2 linked regions of the Lepisosteus oculatus genome follow. The protein of the gene in region 1 purifies or fractionates together with the protein of each later gene. This does not show direct contact. Links are inferred from orthologs where the notes say so. Each region holds a gene or a part of one and is shown on either strand. Other genes may lie near its edges.

The links. Proteins that work in one complex are often made in the same cells at the same time.
Region 2: the proteins of strap (region 1) and tgfbr1b purify together in Homo sapiens (affinity purification with western blotting; 3 studies listed by BioGRID and IntAct, with this or other methods). This does not show direct contact. The link is inferred for Lepisosteus oculatus from reciprocal best matches to the Homo sapiens genes STRAP and TGFBR1.

What each region holds. Positions count from the first base shown.
Region 1 is NC_090702.1:51,134,189-51,141,709, reverse strand, and holds the start of strap (serine-threonine kinase receptor-associated protein), read left to right. Parts: upstream 1-4,499; 5' UTR 4,500-4,728; intron 4,729-4,850; 5' UTR 4,851-4,970; coding exon 4,971-5,082; intron 5,083-7,086; coding exon 7,087-7,222; intron 7,223-7,521. Other genes in the region: etnk1 (ethanolamine kinase 1), read right to left, coding at 305-451. UniProt on the Homo sapiens protein: The SMN complex catalyzes the assembly of small nuclear ribonucleoproteins (snRNPs), the building blocks of the spliceosome, and thereby plays an important role in the splicing of cellular pre-mRNAs.
Region 2 is NC_090701.1:24,416,551-24,424,216, reverse strand, and holds the start of tgfbr1b (TGF-beta receptor type-1b), read left to right. Parts: upstream 1-4,662; 5' UTR 4,663-4,717; coding exon 4,718-4,787; intron 4,788-7,666. UniProt on the Homo sapiens protein: Transmembrane serine/threonine kinase forming with the TGF-beta type II serine/threonine kinase receptor, TGFBR2, the non-promiscuous receptor for the TGF-beta cytokines TGFB1, TGFB2 and TGFB3.

The DNA.
Region 1 (7,521 bases):
GCGAAGGAGGCTGCACCCCCCCGTGCAGTGTGCAGTGTGCGCAGTGTGCAGTGCAGTAATTTAGGGGAAAGCCCCCCCCCCAGGACACGCACGCCAGCAGACACGGAGGCCTCTCCGACCGCCCTTCCCCATCTGCGGCTGGCGTCGCCCCGGCAGTCTCGGCTTTCATTGAATTTCTCTAAAACGTCCGGCATCCTTTCAAAACCCTGCAGCGGGTCACTGCCCCCCCCAAACCACGGTTTCGCTTAATAAAAAAAAAACCCGCGCACATCCTTCATTTCGCGTACGAAATTGAGAAATATACCTTCATCTTGACATCTGTCTCTTTCCAGTGGGGTCTCAGTTCCTTGATAAGTTTCTGGGCTCCAGCTCTGAAATCGTGCTCGTCTACTGTGACATCTAATTTGGGGACTGCTGGGGCTCCCGCAGGGACGTGGATGTAGTCGGCCATGATCACGAGTACGGTTTTTTTTTTCCCCCTCACTTTTATTAACGGCTGTCAAAGAAAAGACACGTTTCAATGGGCTGTAGACGAGCTCCCGCGCGTGCCTTCGCAGTTAGAATCGCCTCAGCTGGTTCTGCTTCTTAGAACGTTCCAACCCCTCGTAAAGCAACCCGCGCGCGTTGCATGCTGGTCCCGGGGTGAGTCACAGCATCAGGTGAGGCGTTGCCTCATTGTGACAAGGTTGCCGCGACTGTGACGTTTTTCTGCCGGCAGTGTACTGTGTGCGGGCGGCGTCGGGTATTTCAAGTGAAGTTGCTGGATTTTTGTTTTTTATGTTTTAGTTTTGTTTCATTGGAATACGTAATAAACACTCCCCCGTGCATGGCGATACGCAGTAATAAGGCCCAAAGCTCATTTGCTCTGCAGTCCGCATTTATTTTCCTAGTCGTGTGTAACACTTTGAATTGGCAGGGACCTGGGCTGCTCCAAGCCAAGAGCTTTCAAAACCCCGGCAGCCTTTTGGAAAGAGGAGATCTAATTTTAGCAGGCAATTAATCAGCTACCACACATCGTGCTGGTTTTATGCGAAAGAAGGTGTTAAAAAAAAACACCGGCTGATGAGCAACTTCGTAGAAGTTGTTATTAGTTACATAGTATTCCAGAATGGGAAGAGAGTTCTAGAACATGCTGGATATAACCGGGTGCGACGCTCCCTTCTTCAAACGGCGTCATCACATGCACTCACACCCACTCTTGCTCTCTGTTAAAAAAACAAGGTATGATCATCCTGAGGTAGAGAGAGTTTGTATTATCGCCAAGGGACAATTGATTTGAAGGTTAAAGAATAATTTTACGGTAGACCTATAGAATGTGGGTTACAAGCAGTGATTTTACTATGGTCTTCTGACAAAATCGAGTGCTTATTTGCAAAATTCCGGTTCTGCCCGTGTGAATACAGACATATTAGACAGATGCTGTGTTAAAACTATGATTCATGTCTGCAGTAACACTAATCTTTTTTTGAGCTGCAGCATCATTGTGAAATACTGTTTTATGACAATAATGAACTATAATGTTCACGCCTTCAAGGCACAAAAATTAGAATTCTGTGTTACGAAATTCTTCATCAGAGGCGCAGGACACAGTCTTGTGCAGATTCAGTTTTATTGAGCGCAAGAAGTACACAACGTGCGCTGGTTGTGCCCCGCAGAACAGACAAACTGCAAGGGTTTCCCAGCTCTTATATACAGTCAGGAGAAAGTTCGTTTCACAATCTGAGTGCTTGTGCTTTTCTTTGATATGTAATTACTACTTGTCTTGCCCTAGGTTCTGTCCTTTGATATGCAGCAGATATTGGTCTGGTTTATCCTGTTTGTGGGTGTTGTTTCTGTCTTTTATTATGTAGCTGTAAGCCACTGGGGCTGCTAAAGCAAGTCAGCTTTATGGCATCTTAGTGTAACTTTTGGCTAAATTAACAGACCCCATCAACAGCTCTCACAATGTGCTTAAGTGGTGATACTGTGATGCTGGATAAGTGAGATATATACATGTCCTACTGCACTAATACATACAGATGCATGTGCTTTGTAGTTAAATTAGAGCCAAGGACAAAACTGTTAAAAGCAGAAAAAGTACCAACCAAATAAAAATGTAATATTCATTGTTAGAATTGTTTATTTATTCTGAAGGTTATAGAGACCAAATAAGCAGTGAAGCTAATGAGGAATGCTGTCTAACGCACAGCTTCTATTACATAAACTGTCTGAGTTGTGACTTACAGCCTTTTTGCTACCATTTGTATTGTGTTCCTTTTCAGACACAGTGTTTGTAACAGCATGTTTGTCTTAAACATTGTGAATATACAGTAGTCTGGCGTTACTCACAGCTATCTTATATACAGACAACGGTCTGCTAAACAAGTCACAGATTGTGTTCATTGCGACACTACTGTATTTTTACTCTGAATGGTCAAGTTAGAATTTATGACAGCGAGACCTCATTTGGCCCAAACAGTATGTTCATTTAGGGGTTCCTTATTTCTGGCCTGGCTGTTTTGTGAACAAGGAGAGGCTTTAGTCTCAAAACACTTCTTTTTGTTTGTGTTAGAGTAATACTGTTAAATAACAATGATGAACTGGAAAGCATTACATTATTAAAATAAAAAATAGGAATCTTCTTCTATGCATACACAAAATGCTCAACATGATCTCAGAGAGGTTTAGAGTGGGGAATGTGCCGAAGTGTGAGCTACAAAGGAACAAGAAGACGTAAGTCTATACTGTAAGGTAAAAAGAAAGAAAACCCCTGTTTCGGTCCTGGAGACTCTTCAGGTGTGTGTTGAACTGAATGAGAGAGCAGGGAGATGAGGTGAGGGGTGGGGTAGAAAGGACAAAAGGAAAAAACAACAACACAGAACTTAGAAACTGTTACACCAGGAAGAGATCAGAAGTCAAGATGAGCTTTTGAACATGTTTCACTCCTGCAGGTGGTATGGTGCCACAGTGGTTAACATTGGTGGCTCACAGTGCTTGGGGCCTTGGGTTCAATTCAATTCAAGGGGGTGCTGTCTGCATTTAGTTTTTATATTGTCTCTTTGTTCATGTCCTCCAACTGTCCAAGAACATATTACCAGGCTAACTGGCTTCTATCTGTGTGGGCCCTGCGATGGACAGGCATCTTGTCCAGGAGGTATCCTGCCTTGCACCTGTTGCTTACCAGAATAGGGCAGGGCTCCCCCATGACAGTATCAGATAAACTGGCTAGAAATTGGATGGATGGATGTTTCACACTGTTTTTTCCGGCACTCAATGTATAACTAATGTTTTTCTAAATCTCTTTATTTGCTGATTGCAGTTTCCCACACTTCCCCTGGCCTTTGCCAACCAGATTTCCATCTCTTTAGCTCCCCTGTCACATCTCTCTTAACCATTTTCACTGTATATATTTCCTTCCCTGCTCCATGGGAGGAAATTCTGCAGGGTTTTATGAAGAGCAGCTGCAGTAAGATTTGAAATTAAATCATTGCAAGGAGATTTTACGCTTCATCTTTGGGCCACTAGTTAAGTGGCATTAAATAATAAACAAAAAAAACACTCTACAGTCAAGAAACCAACAGGAAACGAGAAACTAGCACCTAGTTTAGATATAACCTCATGGTTGCTTGTGTAAGGTTTATTCATTTATTTTGCACCTGCTTTTGCTATCTCAACAAGCAAGATTTTACAGTTTTGTCTACATATTTTGATGTCTCTACAAGGACAGCAGTATTTGACTAGCTGTGATAATGCCTGTACTGTACAGAGTTATTGCCTAGTTATTCCATGTTCTGAGATTCAGTTTCCTCTCAAAGGCTCTGTATAAAATAACGTTTATTAACCAATCTGGGTCATCTAGTCACTTTCATGACACAATTAAATGTGTGTATGGATATTTCTTATGTATTAAAAATGTTGCTGATTATGATTTGAGGTAACTCAGATATGCATGTTTATTTTTTCTTTGTACTGTATACTTGTATATATCTATTTCTTAACGTTTTCTATAAATCTAGGTAAAATACATGTCTGAGAAACTTTAATCAACACTCTCCTTCAAACTCCCACAAAACGTTTCAGACGAGAAGAGGCCACTGGGTCCTATTTAACTCGTTGGGTAGTTATTAGCTTTTGGATCCAAGACTCTCATCCAGAAATTACTTGCACTTCCTAAGTGGCCCCTCTGCCTTATCTCTCTCCCCTCTCCCTCCTCCACTTTCCCAGCTTTTGTTCTCCGGTGCTATTTAATCTTTGTCGTCTACCATGTCTTTCTCACACCTGAAGAGGGCTTCAGACCCCGTTACCTGTTACCTGAAACACGTCAGCCACATGGCCGAACGCTGACCGTAGTGATGTACTAGATCTAGGGGTCTATAAAGTGAAATCATGCAGCTGGAAAAGCCGCTTTACAATCAAACACTTGAAATGAAAGAGCGAGAAGAGGCGTTCATGCTCCTCTGCTATCGGCTCCCCCGTTTCCACACGGAGCGTTATGGCTGTTCTGTTCCCTTCCGGCGGCTGCGGCCATGCGTCACCCTCTCTCCTCTGGCACATCCTGTTAATTTTCTCTTGCTCCCCGTCTGTTTCGTTCCTAGCTCCCCTCCCGCACCGGTCGCCTACGGTAGCCGGCGGCACAGCGTTGTCCGCAGGGCGAACGCTTTCACCCCCACCCCACCCCAGTCCCGGGATCCGACCGTCCTTACCGGCTCCAAACTCCTCTCCCCTGGGCAGCCCTCGCACGGCGTACCGGTGAGTGTCCGCTCGGGGCAAAAACACACAGACACACAGCACCAGCTTGAGGCGTGTTTCATACAAAAACTACAAACTGGCGTTGAATAATTTGCTTTGTTTTATTGTTTTTTTTTTTTCAGATACCAGGCCTTTCTGCTCCTTCTCGTCTCTCTCTCTCTCTCCCCCCGTCGCTGACCGTATTTGTGCAGTTTTTCTCTCCCTCCCTGCCCTTGGTGCGGGACTGATTTGCGAGGAGCGTTATGGCTATGAGGCAGACACCGCTTACTTGCTCTGGGCACACACGGCCTGTGGTTGACTTGGCTTTCAGCGGAATAACCCCTTATGGATATTTCCTGATAAGTGCGTGCAAAGGTAAGGTATCTCTAAGACATAATATTGGCGTCGCTCACGGTGTCCAACCAAGAGCGATCTGCAGCCTGAATCTTTTTTTTTCTTATCAGTCATCAGCGCAGGTATGCGCTGAATGAAAAAAAAAAAACTTAATCTTCGTTTCCACGGTGTTAAATGTGTAAATGTTGGAAACTTGATATCCCGACTGTCCTGACGGTGAAGGCTCCGGAGACTAAAATAATTTAAAAAATCTAAAAAGTGAAGGTGGAACATTCTTAAAAGAGATTCTTAACATGCAACACGTGTTTTTTTGTGTCCATATATACATATATAACATTAAGGCTTTATAAGAATGTATAAGAAATGAATTAACTTGAAGCGTGGTACCTGTTGACCAAAATGAATGTCCTCTGAATAACGTGAAGAGACAGAAAAAATGACCATGTGACATCATTGCAGCGAAGTGTAAAAACCCTGCAGTGACAGTGGACTGTAGCAGGGCACCTGGATTATTTCATGTTGAGTTGAGTTGGTTAGACTGTGCTTGATCTCGGGAGAGACAGCATGACTAAAAGACTACCTGCAAGGGGGTGTAATTTAGAGAAGGAATGTGATTTGAGTAGAGGTTTATGGAAGTTGCTTTCCCTTCATCAAGCAGGTGCTGACGCAGTCTGATGTGGATTATATTTATGTGTATTATTGTGTTTTTTGTGTGTGCTCCAGTCACTGAATTCTGCTCAATCACAGAGTGCAGTAGATTCTAAGTTAGGTCACTCTCTTTAGCCTTTAGCCATGATCGGCACCCTCATCAAACAGTGATCAGTTTGTCTTGTTGGGTGAGTTGTTGCCTGCTGCCATTGTTCTCTTCATGATTATGACAATGTCACATACAATTGTTTGTGCTCTGTCCTGTTTCTTTCTCTTTTTTGTGTCTTGTAAACTGGCACACATCTTTCCAGGGGCCCTGGGACACCTTTCTGCGTTGCCTTTTCTATTAAGGGTCTGGGTTTCCTCAGGCACGCATTTTAAACAGGAAGCACACATTGGCCATACTTTATCTCGCAAATTTGCTGTTTGTGTCATCCAGTTACAGATTAAAATTTCTGCTTGTCGTATTAATAAATGGACCGCTTTACAAAAGAAGTAAATGGCATTTATGCAAGAACAACACTCCCTATCCTTGGGAAGGGAGCACGTGTATTTAGATACATGTAGGGGTATGTGTAAAAATACTTCAATGCTGACGTACTGTTCCAAAAAGAATATATATATATACACACACCCCAGTATAGTGATGGGGACTCTACTGTAAAAAAACAAAAGGCACCATCCTTTGGATGAGACTAAAACTAAGGTCCTGATCCTCTGTGGTCATTAAAAATCCCGGGGTGCTTCTTGAAAAGAGCAGAGGTGTTACCCTGGTGTCCTGGCCAAAGTTCCCCCTGGCCTTTACCCGTCGTGGCCTCCTAATAACCCCCATCTCTGAACTGGCTTCATCACTCTGCTCTCCTCCCCATTGAGAGCTGGTGTGTGGGGAGCAGACTGGCTCACTTTGCCTCCAGTTCTATCATGCAGGTGGAGCTACACACTGGTGGTGGAGGAGGAGATCCCCATTGCCTGTAAAGCGCTTTGAGTGGGGTGTCCAGAAAAGAGCTATATGGGTTTAAGGATGATTTAGATTATTATTATTATTATTAAAGGTGAGCTGTGTGTTTTTGTGTTGTTTTTTTTTGCGACTGAAATGCTCTGCATCTCCAAATGAAATATCCCACACTGAAGGATCCTACACTTTCTTGGGAAACAGCTGACAGTGCCTCCCCTGGGCAAGGGATTTGAGCATCACACAAAATCAGACCGTTAATCTCTTCAGGTTCGTGCAGAGGCATGGAAGGCTGTTTTCTGGGCCGGCTGGTGACCTGCGAAACGTGTCACTTTGCCGTCTGCAGAATCTTTCCCACGCTCTCGAAGCGTTGACCTTTTGCTCGGTCCTAACTGTGTGTGTGTGTTCTGTGCTCCTCCCACCAGATGGCAAACCTATGTTGCGCCAGGGGGACACAGGGGACTGGATTGGAACGTTTCTGGGTCACAAGGGTGCTGTCTGGGGGGCCACCTTGAACAAAGAAGCCACCAAGGCGGCCACTGCTGCGGCCGACTTCACCGCGTGAGTACGGCTTCGCCGCCGCCGTGGGGACTGCGCTGCGGGACAGAGGCGCTGCTCGCCGGGTGGCGCTCGGTGCTCGGTCCGCTCCCACCGTGTCAAAGACACCGTCCAGAACGTTTATCTTCGTGCATTCAGAAGATGTCCCGAGAAACGCGAGCCGCGCGCTGTAGATCTGAGGTTGAGGGTCCGTTCCCCTGACAGATCAGCTGAAGGGGTCCAGTGATGGAGCGTTTGCTCGACAGTGCGACTGGCTAGTGTAGATGGAGATCCTGACGGTAGATCAGTTGACACATGGGCAC
Region 2 (7,666 bases), on another chromosome or scaffold:
GGGCAGTTATGTTTTCCTGATATTTTGGTTCATAAAATATTCAAATATCAAAGTGAACACATGTGCCTTTAGATTCATTCTAAATCAATCTGAAGTCTTGTAAGCTGTCTGTAAGTCTGTAAGTTGTAAGTTCTGGTTATTAAGATAATTAGCTCCTTATGTGGGCCATGTAACAGCTGCAAGTCACCATTTTCTCTGTGGCCATCCCGGCATGCTTGATTTTTTATTATCATACAACTTGGGGGAAAGAAGGGACAATGCAATCACAGACAGAGCAGAGATCAAAGCCTTTGCCTGCCTCTGTCTTTTAATCTTCCCTCAATTGATTTCTACTTCACAAACCCTGCTTCATGACAAATGATAACGACTATCATGTCAAAATCATATAAAGCTGTCGACTGCTTTATCTTATCATAAACCAACTATATATTTATTGAATTTAATTTTGTATGCATATAATACTATTCATTTTTACTTACAAAATATTATATCAGCTATATCAGAGAAGATATTTATTTGGTAGCTTTATTTGGAAATTTTATGAAGAGTCTCAGTGGAGAACTTGTGCCACAAGACACGAGCCTGCTCTCATGAGGGGAAGAGAAAACAATTGATGCAGTCTTTGAGAGGAGAGCTGCAAAACAAGCGTATTGACCAGATGATGGCAAAGCCCGAGGTCCTACTGAGCACTGAAGAGAAGAAAAAGGCTAAGAGAAGAGTGATCCAGATAGGACCTGAGGGGAAGAACTCCCTGGCTGTGGATTGGGATATAACCCAGAATAAGAGTAAGAAGAAAATGGTGGATTTGAATGCTGCTTCAAGAGTGCAGTAAGCGGACTAATGTGCTAAAAGAGAAACGTGAGGCCCTGCGGCCTAAACAGCAGCAAGAATACTGAAAACATAGATGGCTGTTTGCTGTCTGTTCTGTACCTTACATTGAGTGTGAGATGAAGTAACTGAAGGGATAAGGGCAACTCTGAGCGGTAACGACAACCTCCAGGAGAGACCAGAAAAAGCCAGGCAAGAGATGACTTCCCTCACCAAACTCCAGACTAGACTGAAGGACAGGGAGCCTGGGATAGAAAGCCTTCAAGCCCAAATCAGACAGGCAACTGCTGGTCTTTGTCAAACAGGTGCATGATCTTGAGACCAAGCTGGAGGATGAGTGGAAGCAGAGAGACATGGCAGCTGTCGCAGGGAAAAAGCTGGAGGGAGACTTCAAAGAAGTCAAGTGTCACATAAAGACTGCAAATCATGATCAGGACAAGGCTATCAAAACAGGTGCACAAGCTCCAGGCCCAGATGAAGGACTTCCAAAGGGAGATGGGAGATGCCCGCATTGTCGGGGAGAAAGTGCTGACCGCAGTCAAGGAGAGCGAGGAGAAGGCCAAGAGCCTAGAGGCTGAGCTAATGCAGTTACAGGAGGACCTGACAGCAGCAGAGCAAGCATGCAAGCAGATTGAGGCTGACAAGTAAAAACAGGCTGGAGAGCTGGCCAGCAACATTTTGGGAAACTCAGCACTGGCAGATGTGAAGTGGCATTTGGAAGCCAAAGCCTCCAATGGAGGAACTGTAAGAGAAGCAGAGCAGCATGGCAAGGAGAAAGGCTGAGCAGCATGCATAACAGCTAAACAATGAGCTGGAAAAGAGGAGGCCCTAAACCTTTTTCACAAAACTAACAACAGAAGCAGGTGTGGTGGGCAAAGATGGATGACTTTCAGAGCCAGATTGAAACGGCCAAATTAGAAAATGAGAAGCCAAGGGTGCAGTTAGCATTAATGCAGCAGCAACTAAGTAAATCATAGCAATAGATGAAGGACAGAGAAGCAGTGGAGATTTGAAGGGAGGTTACAGTCTTACCCGAATCAAGCCAGAGTAGAGCCGAAGACCACTCAGGAGTAACTGATCCAGGAGAGGGAGAGAGTCAAGATACCGCAGGGACATTTACAAGCCACATGAATGAATGGGCAAGTATGAGGAAAAAGACAAGCCTTTTTCAGAGAATTGCCAGTCCAAGACAGAGGGTGTCACCCATTGGACAAAGAAGCTACTAAGTTTCAGAGGTGAGGGAGAAGGAGCTCTCATCACCAGTGCTAGAGATTGATACGGAGGTCTCTTTGGGTGGAACGTTCAGAAGTACATGTAGATGTCCTGTGTCCTGATGATGACTGTGAGAGAACAAGTGAAAGTGGCTTGAACCTGAGGACAGGCAGCCAAATAAAGCAGAAGACGTGGAACTTCCAGATCGTCCAACAGAGAAAGAAACAGAGTTGCTAGAGAACCATAGACCTGCGCTAGAAGAGAGGGAGAGGTCGCCTGACCGACAACTAATTGAAATGGAAGAACAACGGTTGCAACCCCCAATGAAAGGGGTATTGAAGACTTTTGAGTACCCGGATGGGAGAGTACATGTGGAGCTACCAAGAGAGATGGCTGCCTCTTGAAGAACAAGAGCTGGAAAACCATAGGGTACATGATCCAGGGGAAAGAAAGTATGTCCCTCCCACCCTCCCCATTCACTTCAAAATCCAGGGGGATGTAGCCTTGGAATTGGCTGGTAATCTGTCGTCCAATGGCCTTCCTTATGAGGAGGGAGCATATGGGGTCCTCCTGTTGGGACCACATGAGCTGCTGCTCTCCATCACCTAGCCAGTTGCTGAAAAACAATTGGTCAGGTGACTGTTTAAAAAGCACGAAGAAGAAGCTTCCTGGGTCAGTTAGACAGGGATGTCTGCCGTCTGAAGGCCAGAAGGCAGATCCTCTGTGAGCTATTGACAGGAGGGAGAAAGACAGGCCATGGACTCAAGGAACTAGTGAGTTCTAAGAGTATTGTCAACATTCTTTATGAAATGAAATCCTTAAATGGTAAAGAGTCTCAGAGAGACTTTTCTAATTTGGCAATTTTATGAAGAGTCTCAGTGAGACTGTTTTAACATTTTTTTGTTTGAGGCTCTTAAGCAGTTTAACTCCTTGGCTTGGGTAATTAGGGACACTGAGAAGAAGTTTAGAAAGAAGCTCAAAAAAGTGCTTAGGCTTTTGTTTTGTTGTTTTTGATTTTCCCTACATCATGAAATAAAGCTCACTGGTGTCTTGTACCTTACAGCTGTGTCTGTTTGCCTTGACCCACCTGCTTGTTAAGATTCTGTTATGACACCCAACAGCTTGTCGCCAATTTTAATCAATCAATTTAATTAATCAAACAGAAAATATTTTAATCTCAGTTCTGACCTTATCTTTGAACTTGGATTTAAATTTCAGAGGCATACATAGTAATGCTGACAATACACCTGTTAATGCACATTAAAGATAGAACATATCTTTGGCAGATCATAAAAGAGGTCACTTCAATTGGCACTGGCAACATGGTTTAAATAAAAGACTTTTAAAAAGTTTGTACATGTAGTCATAAAGACAACAGCAGGCGTTAAATGTGTATCTTTTATAAAGAATCTGCATGAAATTGCAGACTCAAGTCCCTGTAAGACGAAACCGTGTGTTTTTAATTAGTTTTTGGGTCACTACTTCTACCACAATGCCTACGTAAGAAATGTTTGCAATCTGGTTTACAAGTCTACAAGTTAGGCACCTACAGTATGTTTGACAAAGCAGAGTATTCTGATTACTTGGTCTCAATATCTTGGACTGTAGGCCTTCCCTGGTGAGTCAGAATCGCTCATCTTCTTTTTGGCCAAATAACAAAACGGCTACAGCACAGTGTCAACGGTGTAACTACTACTGCTAAATCAAACAACGTGAATTTAAAGGATACACGCGATCATACAGAACTTTTATAAACGAGGAATAATGGTCTGGTAGAGGACGTCTCTAATGGGAATTTATTCCTTTCACTAAATGGATAATCGCATCCTCTTTACAATTAAGCAGATATGGATGAAGAAGTAATTTCAGCACTTCTGTTTACCAGATACAGACATCGTTTTTTTGCAGCAGTATATTTAATAAATAAGTCAGGTCTAGTTTACTGGTAAAGATTAAGTGATTACTCTTACGGGACTCAAATATTTTGCCAACCTGCGTTTCTAAGTGAATAAAACCGGAGAGCAAATTACATTTTTGAAAGTGTACATTTTAACTGGAAGACCTATCTGACCCCTATCCGTTTTAATGATATACGTTATTAATTCCTTTACTGACTGTTAAGAAAACGTCATTACTTGAGAGGGAATGTTTTTCTTTTACGATTTTGCTGTGCACTTTCACGGTAGAAGCAGTGAAGGAGTAAACAGTGGAACGGGGCTCAGAGAGCTGTACGGTGAATCATGAGGCCAGCTGGGGGAACCATGACCAAGCACAGTGACATGCATGATATAGAGAGAATACGTGCAAAATGCTATGCTTATCTAAGGAAGTAAATTCTCATAAGATATTAGACCTAAGTGCGTAGCCTGCTTAATCAAAAATAAAACAGTAATTCTGAACAATGTACAGCCTACGTTTCCCAGACAGGTTTAACGTTCATGTTGCTTAGCTGTAGCCCGAATTAATATAATGCCTATATCACTTGTCCGCGCCCTAGCACACTGCGCTAGGCGCTCGCAGCCGAGTGTTGACTTGCGGCTCCGCTATGTGTGTTGGCTGGTAAGAGCTGGGCGGGGTGCGGCGTCCTTGCCAGCCAATCAGGGACGCGATTTCCCCCAGCCAAGACAGCCGAAGTTGTGTGCGAGAGACGGCCAGTCTGGAGTAAATCTGAAACACAATGGATGCAGTTCGTTGTTGTTTAACATTCGTAGTCCTGCTCTTAGGGACTGGAGTACAGGAGACCGAAGGTAAGCGAGAGAGGGGGTGTGGTGCTCCTTTTTAAAAATCCTCAATTTGGATATTTCTTTTCTTCGGATTGAGTCTGGCGCGGGGTTCTCATGCCCGCTGTTGCTCTTTTGTTTCAAGACTCGTCTGCCCCGAAAGACTCTTGTCAAAGATGGCGCAGGTCAGAGAGAGCCGCGCTGTCAGGAATGTGTATTGTTAAGAGTGATTTCCTGACAAGGTAGAAAAAAAAATCAGGAGGGAAAGAGATCGAAAAGTCAGTAGCACGCCTGACGGGCCTGAGTAGAAAGCTACACGGCAAAGCGAGATTCACAGTGGCAAATTCATGTGCAGTCCGATGTGGAGTAGCGGTGAATTGATATTCCCTGGTCGGCAAATGTCCTGAGCTGGAGTCGAGTCGCTGTGTTTGTACTTCTCGGCCTTAATGATAATAGGTCTCTCGACACGTCGGACACTGACCCTGTCCACCGATGGGGCACAGCCAAGGCCTTCTCGCTTCCACAGTCCGGCATTTTTTTCTACTTTGATTGCAAGGAAAAACGCACTATTTACGTGTGTACATATTAGCATATGGTAAATGATTGTTTAGAAGCAGGGTTCTTTTTGAGAAATGCATATTTTGACTCTTTGAAATGCAGCTGAACTCATAAACACGTTGCCTGAACCCAGGCTTATTTACAATTGACATGCTACTGGTTAGCTGTTTTCTGTTGTCTTGTAGCTAACTGTGTAGTTGAATGTTTTGTGACAGGAGTTAGGAGATAAAAGAAACGCCTAATCCGTGCCTTTTGAAGTATCGGGTTTCGGGGTGCCTTGTCATTAACGAAATGTAAAATAAACCTTCTTTGTTTACGTTTCACCTTAAACACCTTGACGTAAAAGGTATATTGTTAGCACGAATCGAACTGTGGTTTGAAAGACCTAAAAAAGGACGGGTGTTGCTGTTGTGATATTTCGGTGTCACCAGCGTGTGATGGGAACAGACACAAAGACTTTGATGTTGTCACGACAGGCTTGCCCTGTAAACCACTGTAGTGCTATTGTTATTAATTGTAATAATCTCTGTGAACGAAAGAAACGGGAAAATATAACCTGTAGGCCTGCACGCCTTTTAAGGTGTCGCTCATGGAATAATTGTCTGGAGAAACAAACCACATGTGCTATGTCCCAGATTTTCAAGTGAACAGAAAGCAGTTTTTGTTTTACCGCAAACGTGTGTTTAGACGCGTCGTGCCACTGGTCTTTGATGTGCTTCAGATATGACTCCAGTGGTGGTAAAAAGTTCCTGCTCCCTTTTGATAACAGCTTTGGTTTTAATTGGGGGCTGCTTGCTGTCACCTGTGGTAATGGAAGAGAATTAAAACATTGAGATGCGTTGCGGGATTCTTTCTAATGGAATTGGGGCTTGTGACCGGTGAAACAGGATTTCCTTGCACAGTCGATGCGCGGATGAAATTAAGCTATCAGATTTGCATGACAATGTGCCGAAATCGACGCCCCGAAGCTCATAGCACAGCAGCTGAAGGAATAGTGTACTGAAATGAAATCTGAGCGTTTTAAAACTGTTTTGCAGAAACCAGTTGTGTTGTACAGTGTTTTCTTAGAATTAATTTCTCCAGATTTTTTCGTGTGGAGTTGAGTTATCAAACCTTGTAGTCCGATCCCTATAAATTTATCTCCAGTTTTTGAAGTGTTCAAGAGTAGTGAAGAATTATTTGTTATAACAGGTTGGTGCAGTGTTAAGCCCTATTATTTATGTGGTTTAGACAGACTTTAGGCCATTTTGCTTTTTGAAAACGTTTTTTGAAAATACCCTTAGCTATTACTGAAGAAGTCATTAATTTATCGGTATACATAACTTAACCTGCCTCTGTCCATATCGCCTATATTTGATATGTTGTGCACATACAAGATTTCAAGCCACTGGAGTTCTACAATTTAAGTCTTGTATGGCACCAGGCCTTCAGGTTCTATAGCTGTGTTTGACTATTGAAGAACAATCCCAGTTTGGTGAAATTTGACCAGATTAGACAATATATATTTTTTGTTTTTACCTTATAGCTCTCCTGGACCAGGGTGGGAAGTTCAGGTTCTAAATCACTAGTTACAGTGCAACAGTGGTTATTACCATTTAAGCTCTTTAATTGAGCCAGTTGAATTATTAAAGACATGGATAAACACAGACGTTAACCCAGTGGATCTTCAAGACTAGGACTAGCTACTGTTCTGCTGGAGCTTTGCAAGGATTTACGTAGGACTGTTTCCCAGTTCTCGTTCTGTTTGATGTCATTGACCGAGTACCTTTTCGTTTTTCTTAAAGAGTGGCTAGACGGTTACATACACACTTTGGCAGTGTGTTTATTTGTCTTCCATTTCCAGCTTGCTGGTGTTCAGTAGTGAGAGTAAAACTCGGGTTTCAGTCAAGTTGACATATGATGCTGCTTTAGCAAATAAAGTAATACGTGAGTCATAAGCATCTGTAGACTGTTCTGTTTGCATGAAAATGAAAATAAAAAAATAAAATCTAAATATAGTTAAAAGAGTAATTATTCATGTTCTCATGGAGTTGAGTGGGGAGTGGGGGGGAAGGAAGGTTAAAACCGTTACTGGTTTTGCAAGCTTGTTTTGTACGTGGTAAATACAGTAGCTCAGCCTTTTGGCTAGTAGAATCCAGAGCATTCAAAGATTTGTATGACCCTGAACTGCCTGTTGTCCAAGCTTAAGGAACCAAAACTAATTTGAAAAGTTGTATATATGCCAGTTGTAATTGGATTCAAAGGCATTGATGCATTCAAACAGCCCTGCTTCAGTCAGATTGAGAACTGGGCTGTGAATCTGGCTTGTTAAAGTTAATACACAGTTTAGTTTCCTTGAGGGATTAGAT